Saccharomyces cerevisiae S288C: one gene and its partners. The protein of the gene in region 1 purifies or fractionates together with the protein of each later gene. This does not show direct contact. Each region holds a gene or a part of one and is shown in the gene's direction. Other genes may lie near its edges.

The links.
Region 2: the proteins of RRP46 (region 1) and UTP10 purify together in Saccharomyces cerevisiae (affinity purification with mass spectrometry; 2 studies listed by BioGRID). This does not show direct contact.
Region 3: the proteins of RRP46 (region 1) and LRP1 purify together in Saccharomyces cerevisiae (affinity purification with mass spectrometry; 6 studies listed by BioGRID, with this or other methods). This does not show direct contact.

The regions. Positions count from the first base shown.
Region 1 is NC_001139.9:675,027-678,221, reverse strand, and holds RRP46 (exosome non-catalytic core subunit RRP46), read left to right. Parts: upstream 1-1,879; coding exon 1,880-2,551; downstream 2,552-3,195. Other genes in the region: thiamine transporter TPC1, read right to left, coding at 657-1,601; VAS1 (valine--tRNA ligase), read right to left, coding at 2,722-3,195. UniProt on the Saccharomyces cerevisiae protein: Non-catalytic component of the RNA exosome complex which has 3'->5' exoribonuclease activity and participates in a multitude of cellular RNA processing and degradation events.
Region 2 is NC_001142.9:211,470-219,050, reverse strand, and holds UTP10 (snoRNA-binding rRNA-processing protein UTP10), read left to right. Parts: upstream 1-1,741; coding exon 1,742-7,051; downstream 7,052-7,581. Other genes in the region: YJL107C (uncharacterized protein), read left to right, coding at 1-198; pheromone-regulated protein PRM10, read left to right, coding at 195-1,346; GZF3 (Gzf3p), read left to right, coding at 7,474-7,581. UniProt on the Saccharomyces cerevisiae protein: Involved in nucleolar processing of pre-18S ribosomal RNA. Required for optimal pre-ribosomal RNA transcription by RNA polymerase I together with a subset of U3 proteins required for transcription (t-UTPs). Involved in ribosome biosynthesis.
Region 3 is NC_001140.6:265,797-268,692, forward strand, and holds LRP1 (Lrp1p), read left to right. Parts: upstream 1-1,741; coding exon 1,742-2,296; downstream 2,297-2,896. Other genes in the region: LAM4 (Lam4p), read right to left, coding at 1-1,042; putative serine/threonine protein kinase KSP1, read right to left, coding at 2,663-2,896. UniProt on the Saccharomyces cerevisiae protein: Required for exosome-dependent processing of pre-rRNA and small nucleolar RNA (snRNA) precursors. Involved in processing of 35S pre-rRNA at the A0, A1 and A2 sites. Required for activity of RRP6 in 7S pre-rRNA processing.

The DNA.
Region 1 (3,195 bases):
TTGAAACTTAGAATCTGACATTTTTTCCCGCTTATTTTTGCGATTTTTTTTTTTGGTAGGATCAGGCGAGGTTGAACATCTCCCACGTTTCTCATTTCTTGGCTATTAAGGAGCCAAGAAATGAGAAAAGGCGAAAAAAAAAAAAAAAAAAGAAAAAAAAAAGTGTAAGTATGCCACATCTAAGAAGGGTGGCTACCACAAGGGTGCAGAGATTGCAGCAGTCCTTGCTTTCTTCAATTTTACTACTTCTTGTTACTCCTAGTCCGTGTGCTTGCGCAGATGTAAGTTGTGTTGAAACAACAAGCAGATGTAGTGGTCCCTGACGCTGGTTCCATCGGAAGATCCGATTCATTGTTTCCTTCTCTCCCTTCCCCGCTGACTGAGCGGAAAAAAAGATAAAAAAAAGAAGAAAAACCGGTGCGGGGCAGCAGGCAACTAAGAAAAACCGGAAAAAGGGTTGGCGTCAGATCGCTAGCAACGAGATTCCTCTTTTTTTTTCGATTTTTTGTTATTAGAGGAAGACGGCGCGACTGAGTCAGGCCGTAATCGGAATGGAAAACCGGGCGGCTACCGATCTTTGTCAGTGAAGAATATAAGATATGATGATTTCGTATATGTATATGAGTGTGTACATGTGACAAAAAAGATTGGAAACTTTAGTACATCCGCAAATAATGGATGGCAGTTTCATACCCCCAGAAACTCACAAAAGTGGTGGGTATTGTCTTGGAAAGGGCCACCAGAATACCTCTGTAAAGCGAACTCACACCTTCTTGTTTCAAAATCTGTAAACCGATTCTTGCGAATCCGTACCCTTTATAAGAACCGTATACAGACGAATGACGGGAGAACTTTTCCAGATGCTTCGAATTCATGAACTGCATTCGCCTACGGATCGTTTCGAGGGGGAAAGTAATGATCTTAGCAATGACGCCGCCAATGGTACCAGCGCTGTGATTTAAAGTAGCCAGTTCCCATTTTTTATGCGCGGCGGTCGTTTTTTCGTTTTCGTCACAGTATATCCTGATTGTTTCGTATGTTCCGAACATTATAGATGCGGTTAGAGTTATGGTTGTCATTGACGCGATGGAGCCCTTGAAAAATCCGGGGAGACCTTCTAGTTTCCAGATATCACGCACTTCTCTCGTGATGCTCATTGAGTGCATCTGGTTGTTGGCAACTAGTCGGGTCCGTAAAACATCGAACGGGTAGGAAACGATGGAACTGGTTATGCCAGCAAAGGCTCCGACAACAAGACTATGTAAGCGCGCCTCTAGTCCAAATGGAGTTAAATATCTATTAAAAAGGGAGTATGAACTAAACTGCGCTGAGCCATAGGTAACGTACAGCAAAGAACCGGGTATGTTACCCTTCCAAAAGGACCGGATGCCTTCGTTCTTTATCATGCTTCTGGCCACCTCCATGACCTGACTTCCGAAGGGCTTCAGCCCATTTGCAGGGGTCAATTGCAATCTGATCTTAATGGTATCCATGGGAGCAGTTATGCTACGGGCAAGCAGCCCGGATACGGCGCCAGCCAACAAAGTTTTCCACGCGGCCACATTTTGCCCTTTTCTTAACGAGTCCTCCTCTTTGAACATATCAACATTTATGTACTTTGAATGGTTTATATAAAGCTCCAGACTATGCCAAGTTAAAGGTGACAAAATAGCGCCTTTTCTTCATAAAGACTATTATGTACCTCTCTTTTTCTTTTTACTACTTTTTTTTTCCTTTTAAGCGCATCGGATTGTGGAAAAAAGAGTGGAAAATTTGTTAGATGAACCAGTTAAGATGCATAAAATATCTCTGCATATATGGTAATAACAAGGAGCCCAATACCAAGAATAGATTAGATTCTGCTGAAAAAAAAAAAAAAATGAGCGTCCAAGCAGAAATAGGGATATTAGATCATGTAGATGGTTCATCTGAATTCGTATCACAAGACACCAAGGTTATTTGTTCTGTAACAGGCCCTATTGAACCAAAAGCAAGACAAGAACTGCCTACACAATTAGCATTAGAAATTATTGTACGTCCCGCGAAAGGGGTGGCCACAACAAGAGAGAAGGTACTCGAAGATAAATTACGGGCAGTTCTGACCCCACTCATCACTCGTCATTGTTACCCAAGACAGCTCTGCCAGATAACTTGTCAAATTCTGGAATCTGGTGAAGATGAAGCCGAATTCTCCCTGAGAGAGCTAAGTTGTTGTATAAATGCGGCATTTTTGGCTTTAGTTGATGCAGGAATTGCCTTAAATAGTATGTGCGCAAGCATCCCTATTGCAATAATCAAAGACACTAGTGATATCATTGTCGATCCCACTGCCGAGCAATTGAAGATTTCGCTCTCTGTCCACACTTTAGCTCTGGAGTTCGTCAATGGCGGTAAAGTCGTGAAAAACGTTTTATTGTTAGACAGCAATGGTGATTTTAATGAAGATCAATTGTTCAGTTTACTGGAGCTGGGTGAGCAAAAGTGTCAAGAACTTGTCACAAATATAAGAAGAATAATACAGGACAATATATCACCTCGTCTAGTTGTATAGCCATTATAGATTATAATATACCACAACATGCTATGTCGTATGCCGGAGACTACCTCTTATATTTGGAAATAGTTATTATTCAATGTTCTAAAATTCTTAACATTTTCGTTGTTACATATACATAGCATATATATATATATATATTACATTAATTTTTATCTACCTTCAATCTACAATTTCAAACGCTTCAAGTTTTCAATAGTAGCTTCCAAACCTTCGATTTCGGCAACAGTGTTATCCAGCTTGCTTTTATTGGCTTCCTTGGCCTGTGTATTAGCCTTTGTTTCGTAATCCTTACTGTTAATGGTTTGTTCAATACCGTTCTTGGATTTTTTAGCCTTTTCAAGTTTCTTTTGAACTTTCGCAATTTCAGCATCAATATCAACGTGTCCCTTGACGAGAAGATGTACATTGACTTCTGGGTTAACAGATTGCAATACGCAACCTTCTGGAATTTCGGAAGCATCACGAACAACAGTGACTTCGTCGATGGCCTTGATCAACGAGACAATAGAATCTTTCTGATCTTCAGCAGTTTTGAAGTATTCCTCGTGGTTAGATTCAACGAAAACCTTACCATTCTTCAAAATATTGTACTCAGATAACAAGGAACGAGCTTCTTTGGTAATGTTCAAGACCAAGTC
Region 2 (7,581 bases), on another chromosome or scaffold:
CTGAAGAAAAGACTAAAAACTGAAGCGAAAATTACGGTTCACATTGCAGACATTTTACAAAGACACCGGTTCATCCTACGCATGTGTAGAGCTCTTATGATGTATGGTGCTCCGACGCATAGGCTTGAAGAATATATGGTTATGACTTCTAGAGTCCTTGAAATAGATGGTCAGTTTTGTATCTTCCAGGTTGTATGATTGTTTCATTTGGTGATGCAACAACAAGAACTTCCGAAGTTCAATTGGTTAGGTGTACTCAAGGTCTAAACCTTTGGAAGCTGCATCAAGTTCATGCCGTTTACAAAAGAGTTGTCCATGATACCTTAGGTGCCGATGAAGGTAATGCTTTACTCGATCAAATTTTGGCTGACACGAATCTATATCCACCTTGGATGTGTGTTCTTTTATATGCATTTTGTTCCGCTATGGTCACTCCGTATGCCTTTGGTGGCGATTGGGTAAACCTGGCAATCTCATTTTTTATGGGGCTTTGTGTGGGGTCATTACAATTTATTCTTTCACAAAAGTCATACATGTATTCAAACGTCTTCGAAATTTCTGCATCTATTGTCGTTAGCTTCTGCGGTAGAGCTTTTGGCTCTATCCCTCGTTCTCACATCTGCTTTGGTGCAGTTACACAAGGCTCATTGGCATTAATCCTGCCAGGTTATATTATTCTGTGTGGTGCACTAGAACTGCAAAGTCGAAGCCTAGTTGCTGGCGCGGTCCGTATGTTCTACGCCATTATTTATTCTTTGTTTTTGGGTTTTGGCATAACATTGGGCTCAGCTTTGTTTGGATGGATGTATCACAATGCCACTAACGAAATTTCATGTCCTCAATTAATTTCTCCGTGGTTCAGGTTCCTCTTCGTTCCAGCGTTTACCATTAGTATCTCGTTATTAAATCAAGCACACATCTCACAACTGCCAGTTATGGTCTTCATTTCTTGCACCGGTTATGTCGTAACATATTGGGCCGGTAAGCATTTTGCGAATTCGACAGAGTTTACTGCCGCCTTAGCTGCATTTGTCATAGGTGTTTTAGGTAATCTATATTCCAGAATTTGGAAAGGTTTAGCGGTATCAGCTATGCTTCCCGCAATCTTCGTTCAAGTGCCATCTGGTATTGCTTCACAAAATTCGTTGTTGTCTGGGTTGCAAAGTGCAAATACAATTGTTAATGCTAATGAAACCATTACGACAAGCACCTCCGATCCATCGTCCTCAATGTCATTTGGTATGACAATGATTCAAGTTTGTGTCGGTATTTCTGTGGGACTATTTGCTTCTTCACTCTTTGTCTACCCCTTTGGTAAAAAGAAAACTGGTCTTTTCAGTTTATAAGCTCTCACAAGGTCCACTTCGTTAGAAACTTGTTAACCAATGGACCAAGTGTTGCCATTGGGTCATTCTTCAGTATCAAAGAAGACTTTGACCCACTAAGAAAAATTTCAAAAGTAAATTATAAATATAGCATTAAGTACAAATAACATATCAGCTTATGAATCCTTTTTTTCAATTTTATGGTTTCATAGCCAATAATCATAACATACATAGATTAATAATATTCAAGTCACATGACTTTTTTTTTTTTCTTTTTTCTTTCTGCGTTAAGCAAAGAAAAAAATTTTCAGTTAGCGATGAGCTAGATATTTTCGAAGGTGTAACAAATACTTTCTTTATTACCTTTCAGAATCAGACTTATCTAACTGGCCACCAAAGTACGAATAACTTTGAAAATGTCTTCGTTGAGTGACCAATTAGCTCAAGTTGCTTCCAACAATGCTACTGTTGCGTTGGATAGAAAGAGAAGACAAAAACTTCATTCTGCTTCTTTGATTTATAACTCAAAGACGGCTGCAACACAAGATTACGATTTCATTTTTGAAAACGCTAGTAAGGCTCTTGAAGAATTGAGCCAAATTGAGCCAAAATTTGCCATTTTCTCAAGAACACTCTTTTCAGAGTCTTCCATTTCTCTTGATAGAAATGTCCAAACAAAAGAAGAAATTAAAGATTTGGATAATGCTATCAATGCTTACTTGCTATTGGCTTCTTCTAAATGGTATTTAGCACCTACACTACATGCAACAGAATGGTTGGTTCGTCGTTTTCAAATACATGTTAAAAACACAGAGATGCTGCTTTTGTCCACTCTCAACTACTACCAAACACCTGTCTTTAAGAGAATTCTCAGCATTATTAAGTTGCCCCCTTTGTTTAATTGTTTGTCGAATTTTGTTAGAAGTGAAAAGCCCCCAACGGCGCTAACCATGATAAAGCTCTTTAATGACATGGATTTTCTGAAACTTTATACCAGTTATTTGGATCAATGTATTAAGCATAATGCAACGTATACTAACCAGCTTTTATTTACAACATGCTGCTTTATTAACGTTGTTGCTTTCAATTCAAACAACGATGAAAAACTGAATCAGCTTGTTCCAATCTTACTTGAAATATCTGCTAAACTTTTAGCCTCTAAATCAAAGGATTGTCAAATAGCTGCACATACCATATTAGTTGTATTTGCTACAGCTTTGCCTTTAAAGAAAACAATTATCTTAGCTGCCATGGAAACCATTCTTTCAAACTTAGATGCTAAAGAGGCAAAACATTCAGCACTCCTCACGATTTGTAAGCTGTTCCAAACATTAAAAGGACAAGGTAACGTAGATCAGCTACCTTCCAAAATTTTCAAGTTATTTGATAGCAAGTTCGACACTGTGTCTATACTAACCTTCTTAGATAAGGAAGACAAACCAGTTTGTGATAAATTCATTACTTCCTATACAAGATCCATAGCAAGGTATGATCGGTCCAAATTGAACATTATTCTTAGCCTACTAAAAAAAATAAGACTAGAAAGATACGAAGTTAGGTTGATAATCACTGATTTGATTTACCTTTCCGAAATTTTAGAGGACAAGTCACAATTAGTAGAACTATTCGAATATTTTATCTCCATAAATGAAGATTTGGTGTTAAAATGTTTGAAATCATTGGGACTGACAGGCGAACTCTTCGAAATCAGGCTTACTACATCTTTGTTCACTAATGCCGATGTTAACACCGACATTGTAAAGCAGTTAAGCGACCCCGTGGAAACTACTAAAAAGGATACCGCTTCATTTCAAACATTCTTGGATAAGCATTCAGAATTGATAAACACAACGAATGTGTCCATGCTAACAGAAACTGGAGAAAGATACAAAAAGGTTTTATCTTTATTCACTGAAGCTATTGGTAAAGGCTATAAAGCAAGTTCCTTCTTGACTTCATTTTTCACTACTTTAGAATCAAGAATAACGTTTTTGTTAAGAGTAACTATATCTCCAGCCGCTCCAACCGCGCTAAAGCTAATATCTTTAAACAATATTGCAAAATATATTAATAGTATTGAAAAGGAAGTTAATATTTTTACTTTAGTTCCATGCTTGATTTGCGCTTTGCGAGATGCTTCTATAAAAGTTAGGACTGGCGTGAAGAAGATTCTTTCCTTGATTGCTAAAAGACCATCCACTAAGCACTACTTTTTGTCTGATAAACTTTACGGAGAGAACGTTACCATTCCTATGTTAAATCCCAAAGATAGTGAGGCATGGTTATCAGGATTTTTGAATGAGTACGTTACTGAGAATTATGACATATCCAGAATTTTAACGCCAAAGAGAAATGAAAAAGTCTTTTTGATGTTTTGGGCTAATCAAGCCCTACTAATACCTTCTCCGTATGCCAAGACAGTGTTGTTGGATAACCTGAACAAGAGTCCGACTTATGCATCTTCTTATTCCTCCCTATTTGAGGAATTTATTTCCCACTACTTAGAAAACAGATCTAGTTGGGAAAAGAGTTGTATTGCTAATAAAACAAACTTTGAGCATTTTGAGCGCTCTTTAGTTAATTTGGTATCACCAAAAGAAAAGCAGTCATTCATGATCGATTTTGTTCTCAGTGCTCTTAACTCAGATTATGAGCAGTTAGCTAACATAGCTGCCGAGAGGCTTATCAGCATATTCGCTTCATTAAATAATGCTCAAAAACTAAAAATCGTCCAAAATATCGTGGATTCTTCGAGTAACGTAGAATCATCGTACGATACAGTCGGTGTACTACAATCATTGCCGTTAGATTCCGATATTTTTGTATCCATACTAAATCAAAACAGTATCAGTAACGAAATGGATCAGACAGACTTTTCTAAAAGAAGAAGAAGACGTTCATCAACAAGTAAAAACGCATTTTTGAAAGAGGAGGTTTCGCAACTGGCGGAATTGCACCTGAGAAAGTTGACGATTATTTTGGAAGCACTTGATAAAGTCAGAAATGTTGGATCCGAAAAGCTTTTGTTCACTTTACTTTCCTTATTATCAGATCTGGAAACTTTGGATCAAGACGGTGGATTACCGGTTTTATATGCGCAAGAAACTTTGATTTCTTGTACGCTGAACACTATCACATACTTGAAGGAACATGGCTGTACAGAACTAACCAACGTAAGGGCAGATATATTGGTATCCGCTATTAGAAATTCTGCATCTCCGCAAGTCCAAAACAAACTATTACTTGTAATTGGATCTCTTGCTACTTTAAGTTCGGAAGTTATTTTGCATTCTGTAATGCCTATCTTTACTTTTATGGGAGCCCATAGTATTCGTCAAGATGATGAATTCACAACTAAAGTTGTTGAGCGTACGATACTAACTGTTGTCCCTGCCTTGATCAAGAATAGCAAAGGAAATGAAAAAGAGGAAATGGAGTTCCTTTTGTTGAGCTTCACAACCGCTTTGCAACATGTTCCAAGACATAGGAGGGTTAAATTATTTTCTACGTTAATCAAAACACTTGATCCAGTAAAGGCACTGGGCTCGTTCCTTTTCTTGATTGCACAACAGTATTCTTCAGCTTTAGTCAACTTTAAAATTGGCGAGGCAAGAATATTAATTGAGTTTATTAAGGCCCTACTCGTTGATCTACATGTCAATGAGGAATTATCAGGTTTGAATGACTTACTCGATATCATCAAATTGTTGACATCATCAAAGAGCTCCTCGGAAAAGAAGAAATCACTAGAATCCCGTGTCTTGTTTTCAAATGGTGTCTTGAATTTTTCGGAAAGTGAATTTTTGACATTTATGAACAATACCTTTGAGTTTATCAATAAAATAACCGAGGAAACAGATCAAGATTATTACGATGTGAGGAGAAATTTAAGACTAAAGGTATATTCTGTTTTGTTAGATGAAACAAGCGATAAAAAGTTAATTAGAAACATCAGGGAAGAATTTGGAACCCTTTTAGAAGGTGTTCTTTTTTTCATTAATTCTGTAGAATTAACCTTTTCATGTATAACTTCCCAAGAAAATGAGGAAGCTTCCGACTCTGAAACATCATTATCAGATCACACGACTGAAATAAAGGAGATTCTATTCAAGGTGCTTGGCAATGTGTTACAAATTCTACCAGTTGACGAGTTTGTTAATGCGGTATTACCCTTACTCAGTACATCCACTAATGAAGATATTAGATACCACCTAACGTTGGTAATAGGGTCCAAATTCGAGTTAGAAGGCTCTGAAGCTATTCCTATAGTTAACAATGTGATGAAGGTTTTGCTCGACAGAATGCCTTTGGAATCTAAATCTGTTGTTATTTCTCAAGTAATATTGAACACGATGACGGCTTTAGTGAGCAAATATGGTAAGAAGCTTGAGGGGTCCATATTAACTCAAGCCCTCACCCTTGCTACTGAAAAAGTTAGTTCTGATATGACAGAGGTCAAGATATCTTCGTTGGCATTGATAACTAACTGTGTTCAAGTTTTAGGAGTCAAGTCAATTGCGTTCTATCCAAAAATAGTCCCACCTTCTATTAAATTATTTGATGCTTCATTGGCAGATAGTAGTAACCCATTAAAAGAGCAGTTGCAAGTTGCTATACTGTTGCTGTTCGCCGGTCTAATCAAAAGGATACCAAGTTTCTTGATGTCAAATATTTTGGATGTTTTGCATGTTATTTATTTTTCCCGTGAAGTTGACAGCAGCATTAGGCTGTCAGTAATTTCATTGATAATTGAGAATATAGATTTGAAGGAAGTTTTGAAAGTTTTATTCAGAATTTGGTCCACTGAAATAGCAACGTCCAATGATACAGTTGCTGTTAGTCTATTTTTGAGTACATTAGAATCCACTGTTGAAAATATTGATAAAAAATCCGCAACCTCACAATCGCCAATATTTTTTAAGTTACTATTATCTTTATTCGAATTTAGATCCATTTCCAGTTTCGATAATAATACAATTAGTAGGATAGAGGCATCCGTTCACGAAATTTCCAACTCTTACGTCCTGAAGATGAATGACAAAGTATTTAGACCGCTATTTGTTATATTAGTAAGATGGGCGTTTGACGGTGAAGGCGTTACAAATGCAGGTATCACTGAAACAGAAAGACTGTTGGCATTTTTCAAATTTTTCAACAAGCTTCAAGAAAATTTGAGAGGTATAATTACTTCCTATTTCACGTATTTGTTAGAACCTGTTGATATGTTGTTAAAAAGATTCATTAGCAAGGACATGGAAAACGTTAATTTAAGACGTTTGGTAATCAACTCTCTAACCTCTTCGCTAAAGTTTGATAGAGACGAATACTGGAAATCAACTTCCAGATTCGAGTTAATTTCTGTATCCTTGGTCAATCAACTATCTAATATAGAAAACTCTATTGGGAAGTACCTGGTCAAGGCAATTGGCGCTCTGGCTTCTAACAATAGTGGCGTTGATGAGCATAACCAAATTTTGAATAAACTAATCGTTGAACACATGAAAGCTTCCTGTTCCTCCAATGAAAAATTATGGGCTATTAGAGCCATGAAGTTGATATACTCAAAGATAGGTGAAAGTTGGTTAGTTCTATTGCCACAGCTCGTTCCCGTCATCGCTGAGTTATTGGAAGATGATGATGAAGAGATCGAACGTGAAGTCAGGACCGGTTTGGTCAAGGTTGTTGAAAACGTTTTAGGGGAACCTTTTGATAGGTATTTAGATTAGAAAAAAAAGGTGAAGTATTATGTAAATTTTTGTAAAGTAAAACACTATGCTGTTGAACGAAATCTTTCATTGAAAATATTGTTATTCATTCGTGATAGCTGCCCCTTTCTGAGTTTGAACTTAATATTTCAATTACGCTACTTCAAGTTTCAATGAGATATTATTCTGTCATCTTTCTCGTCGTTCCTAGTGATTAACGTTACTAAAATTACTGATCCTAAATAGCGGGCGAACAGAGTGAAAATTTTCTTATCTTCGCTTATCTGCGCTTATCAATCCTAATCAGTGAAAAATAAGATATAGGCTTGATAATAAGGTAGTTTGAAAGAGAACATATTGCAAGCGGTTGAAGCTATAATACTAGATATACGAATATCATTTCGGGTATTTGTACTGTGCTCTACAATTCTACTGGTAATATTATGGCATCGCAGGCTACAACTCTTCGAGGCTATAACATTAGAAAACGAGATAATGTATTTGAACCAAAATCAAGTGAAAACCTCAACAGCTTAAATCAAAGCGAAGAA
Region 3 (2,896 bases), on another chromosome or scaffold:
ACCCTTCAAGAGTAGCTTGAGAATCATCGAAGTGCTCTAATTTTAAGTTTCCAACTCCGGGGGTAGGCTTATCATGAGAGTGCCTGATGGGTTCGAAAACCACTTTCCTGGCCATATCATCCGTCATCTTTCTAGTGTCATCTAATGATGTATCATCTCCTGAGATAGCATTAGAGCTTGAATGTGAGTTCGAGTGAATATGGCCTTTCAAATTTCCAAATGCCAATCTAGATAATGATGATGGTTTACTTTTACTTCCTGCTTCCGTTGTATTAAGCTGTTGGTTACTTGGAGTTGATGATTTGGATGCTGCAAGAATATTGTCTAAATTTTTCAAAAATGGGCCATCGCTTTCTTTTGTCGATGAAGTGTTTTTATTGTTAGTGCTATTTTCGGAAAGGGCTCCTGATATATTAGATGAGTTTTTTTTCCTGTCCTTTGGTTCATTCCTGGAAATTGTTCCATTGTCAGCGTCTTGTACGTTTATTTTGGGAATGTGGCTTACGGCATTATGGGCGAAGGAAAGAAACGTTTCAAAGGCGGTATGTTCATCATGGCCGTCTGGAGTTTTTTCCTCAGCTTGATTGCTGGACCCTTCTCGTTTCCCACTTTGCAGTTTTTCCTTTTCTAATGCCTGGACGGATAAACTTGGTACAGAATTTGAATTCGAGTTACCATCCTGAAAGCGACCCTTCAATGAACCTGCCGTCAAATTCGTGTTTGTCTTTTCAAGCCTGTTTGTTTCCATGGGATCTATAACGATTGGAATATTGAATACACCTTGGCTATGCGCTAAGGAAGATGCCGCCGCCTTTTGAGATCCTTTTGCAGGAGATTCCGTGAAAGTTTCGGGCTTAAGTAAAGACGGAATATCCGGATTTCCTCCTACTCTTCTGAATCGCTCAGCACTGGCTGTTGTGCTAACATTCTCTCCTGTAGTATTATTTAAAAAATTACGATCCTTCTTGTGCTTACGTTTGACTCCAATTGTCCTTAAAAAGGCAGTGCCCCAATGGTGCTTCTTTTTTGAATCTCTAGTCATTACTGTATATTTTCAACACTATCCATGGAGAGTAAGAACCACACACAGTAGCAATAATTTAATATCAATGGCAATAGCAACGAAATTACAGTAGATACCGTGAGCCAGCAGAAACAGATTGATATTTCGTATTTCAAGAAGGCAGAATCATTCAACCACCTACCGTCCCCCAGGAGGACAGATCCCAACGAGGGACCTTTGCGCCCAATTCTACTCCTGCAAGGGTTTCACTTAGAAATGCTTTTGCCAAGGTAAAGGACCCCTAAGACTAGAATGAACTACGCCGGTCCGTCCGGCCGTCATACTCCGTGGAAATTTACTTCTAAAAGGAGAAACAGCGATCTTTGCCGCATAAAGCCAGCCACTACTGGCGTGGAAAGATTTTTAGATTAGAAGACAATACAAAGCGGCAACGTCATAACCTTGGTATTTATTGGGCAAGCATTTTCATATCAGCGTACATACACCAGCAATGGGAATGTAAAGAAGAGTCGTTACTAGCATATTTTCTATTCATGCGGGTACCCAACATGTCACGTTTCACGAATTCTCGTGCAGTTTTTCAGCGATGAGCTAAGGCAGATGGTTATGGACTGTGCCTTCTGTAGTCTGTGGAAGAAAAAACTGGTTAACAGCCTACAGTAGAAATCGATTAATATAAACATATATCTAGCAACGTAACGGAGTATTAGATCAGTAATGGAAGATATCGAAAAGATAAAACCATACGTTAGGAGTTTTTCAAAGGCGTTAGACGAGCTGAAACCAGAAATAGAGAAACTAACGTCGAAGTCACTGGATGAACAGCTGTTGCTATTATCTGATGAGAGGGCTAAATTAGAACTAATTAATCGTTACGCGTATGTATTGAGTTCTCTGATGTTTGCTAATATGAAAGTCCTAGGCGTCAAAGATATGTCTCCTATACTCGGCGAACTGAAAAGAGTAAAATCATACATGGATAAGGCTAAACAATACGATAATAGGATAACCAAATCCAACGAAAAATCGCAGGCAGAGCAAGAAAAAGCTAAGAATATCATTTCCAATGTTTTGGACGGTAATAAAAACCAATTCGAGCCCTCTATAAGCAGGAGCAACTTTCAAGGGAAGCATACGAAATTTGAAAACGATGAACTGGCAGAGAGTACAACGACTAAGATTATTGACAGTACCGATCATATAAGGAAAGCAAGTAGTAAGAAAAGTAAAAGATTGGATAAAGTTGGAAAAAAGAAAGGAGGGAAGAAGTAGAGGTCGACGTATACTGGTACATGAGTGAAAAAATGATTAAAGGTGATGTGAGAGCACAAATGCAAAAATGCTTATAGGGTTTATATACTTTTATAATAACAATAAGAACTCGTTGAAGTAACTAATATGTGTATATGCTATTCTTGTAGTTGGCAGTGAACACTTTTGTGTGAATTGACGTTATATAAGACTGTAGAAATATCTAAGAAAAGAGAGTTTTCATAAAACCCTTCAAGCTTAACTACCAAAAAGCATTCATACTTAGAAGTTGAAATGCACGATGATGCCAAATTGATGAAAAAAGCTAAAAATGCATTTCAGAAGGGAAGAAAATAATAAGCAACATAACAGAGGGAATAGGTGCGCTTAGTCTTGTTGCTGTAAAATTAACCAATTATTCTTGTATTGTTCTAACGATCCGACCATTTCATCCTGAATACTTGTCTTCCTGCCAGCTCCTAATTTTTTATCGTGAGTGGAGCCAGCGAAAGTTTGAGCATAAATTTCATAAGGACCGAAAATTTGCCTTTCATCCGGGGAGGTTGACGAGGATTCGTTGTCACCACCTTCCATTTTGCCATGTGCCATCTTGTCACTTTC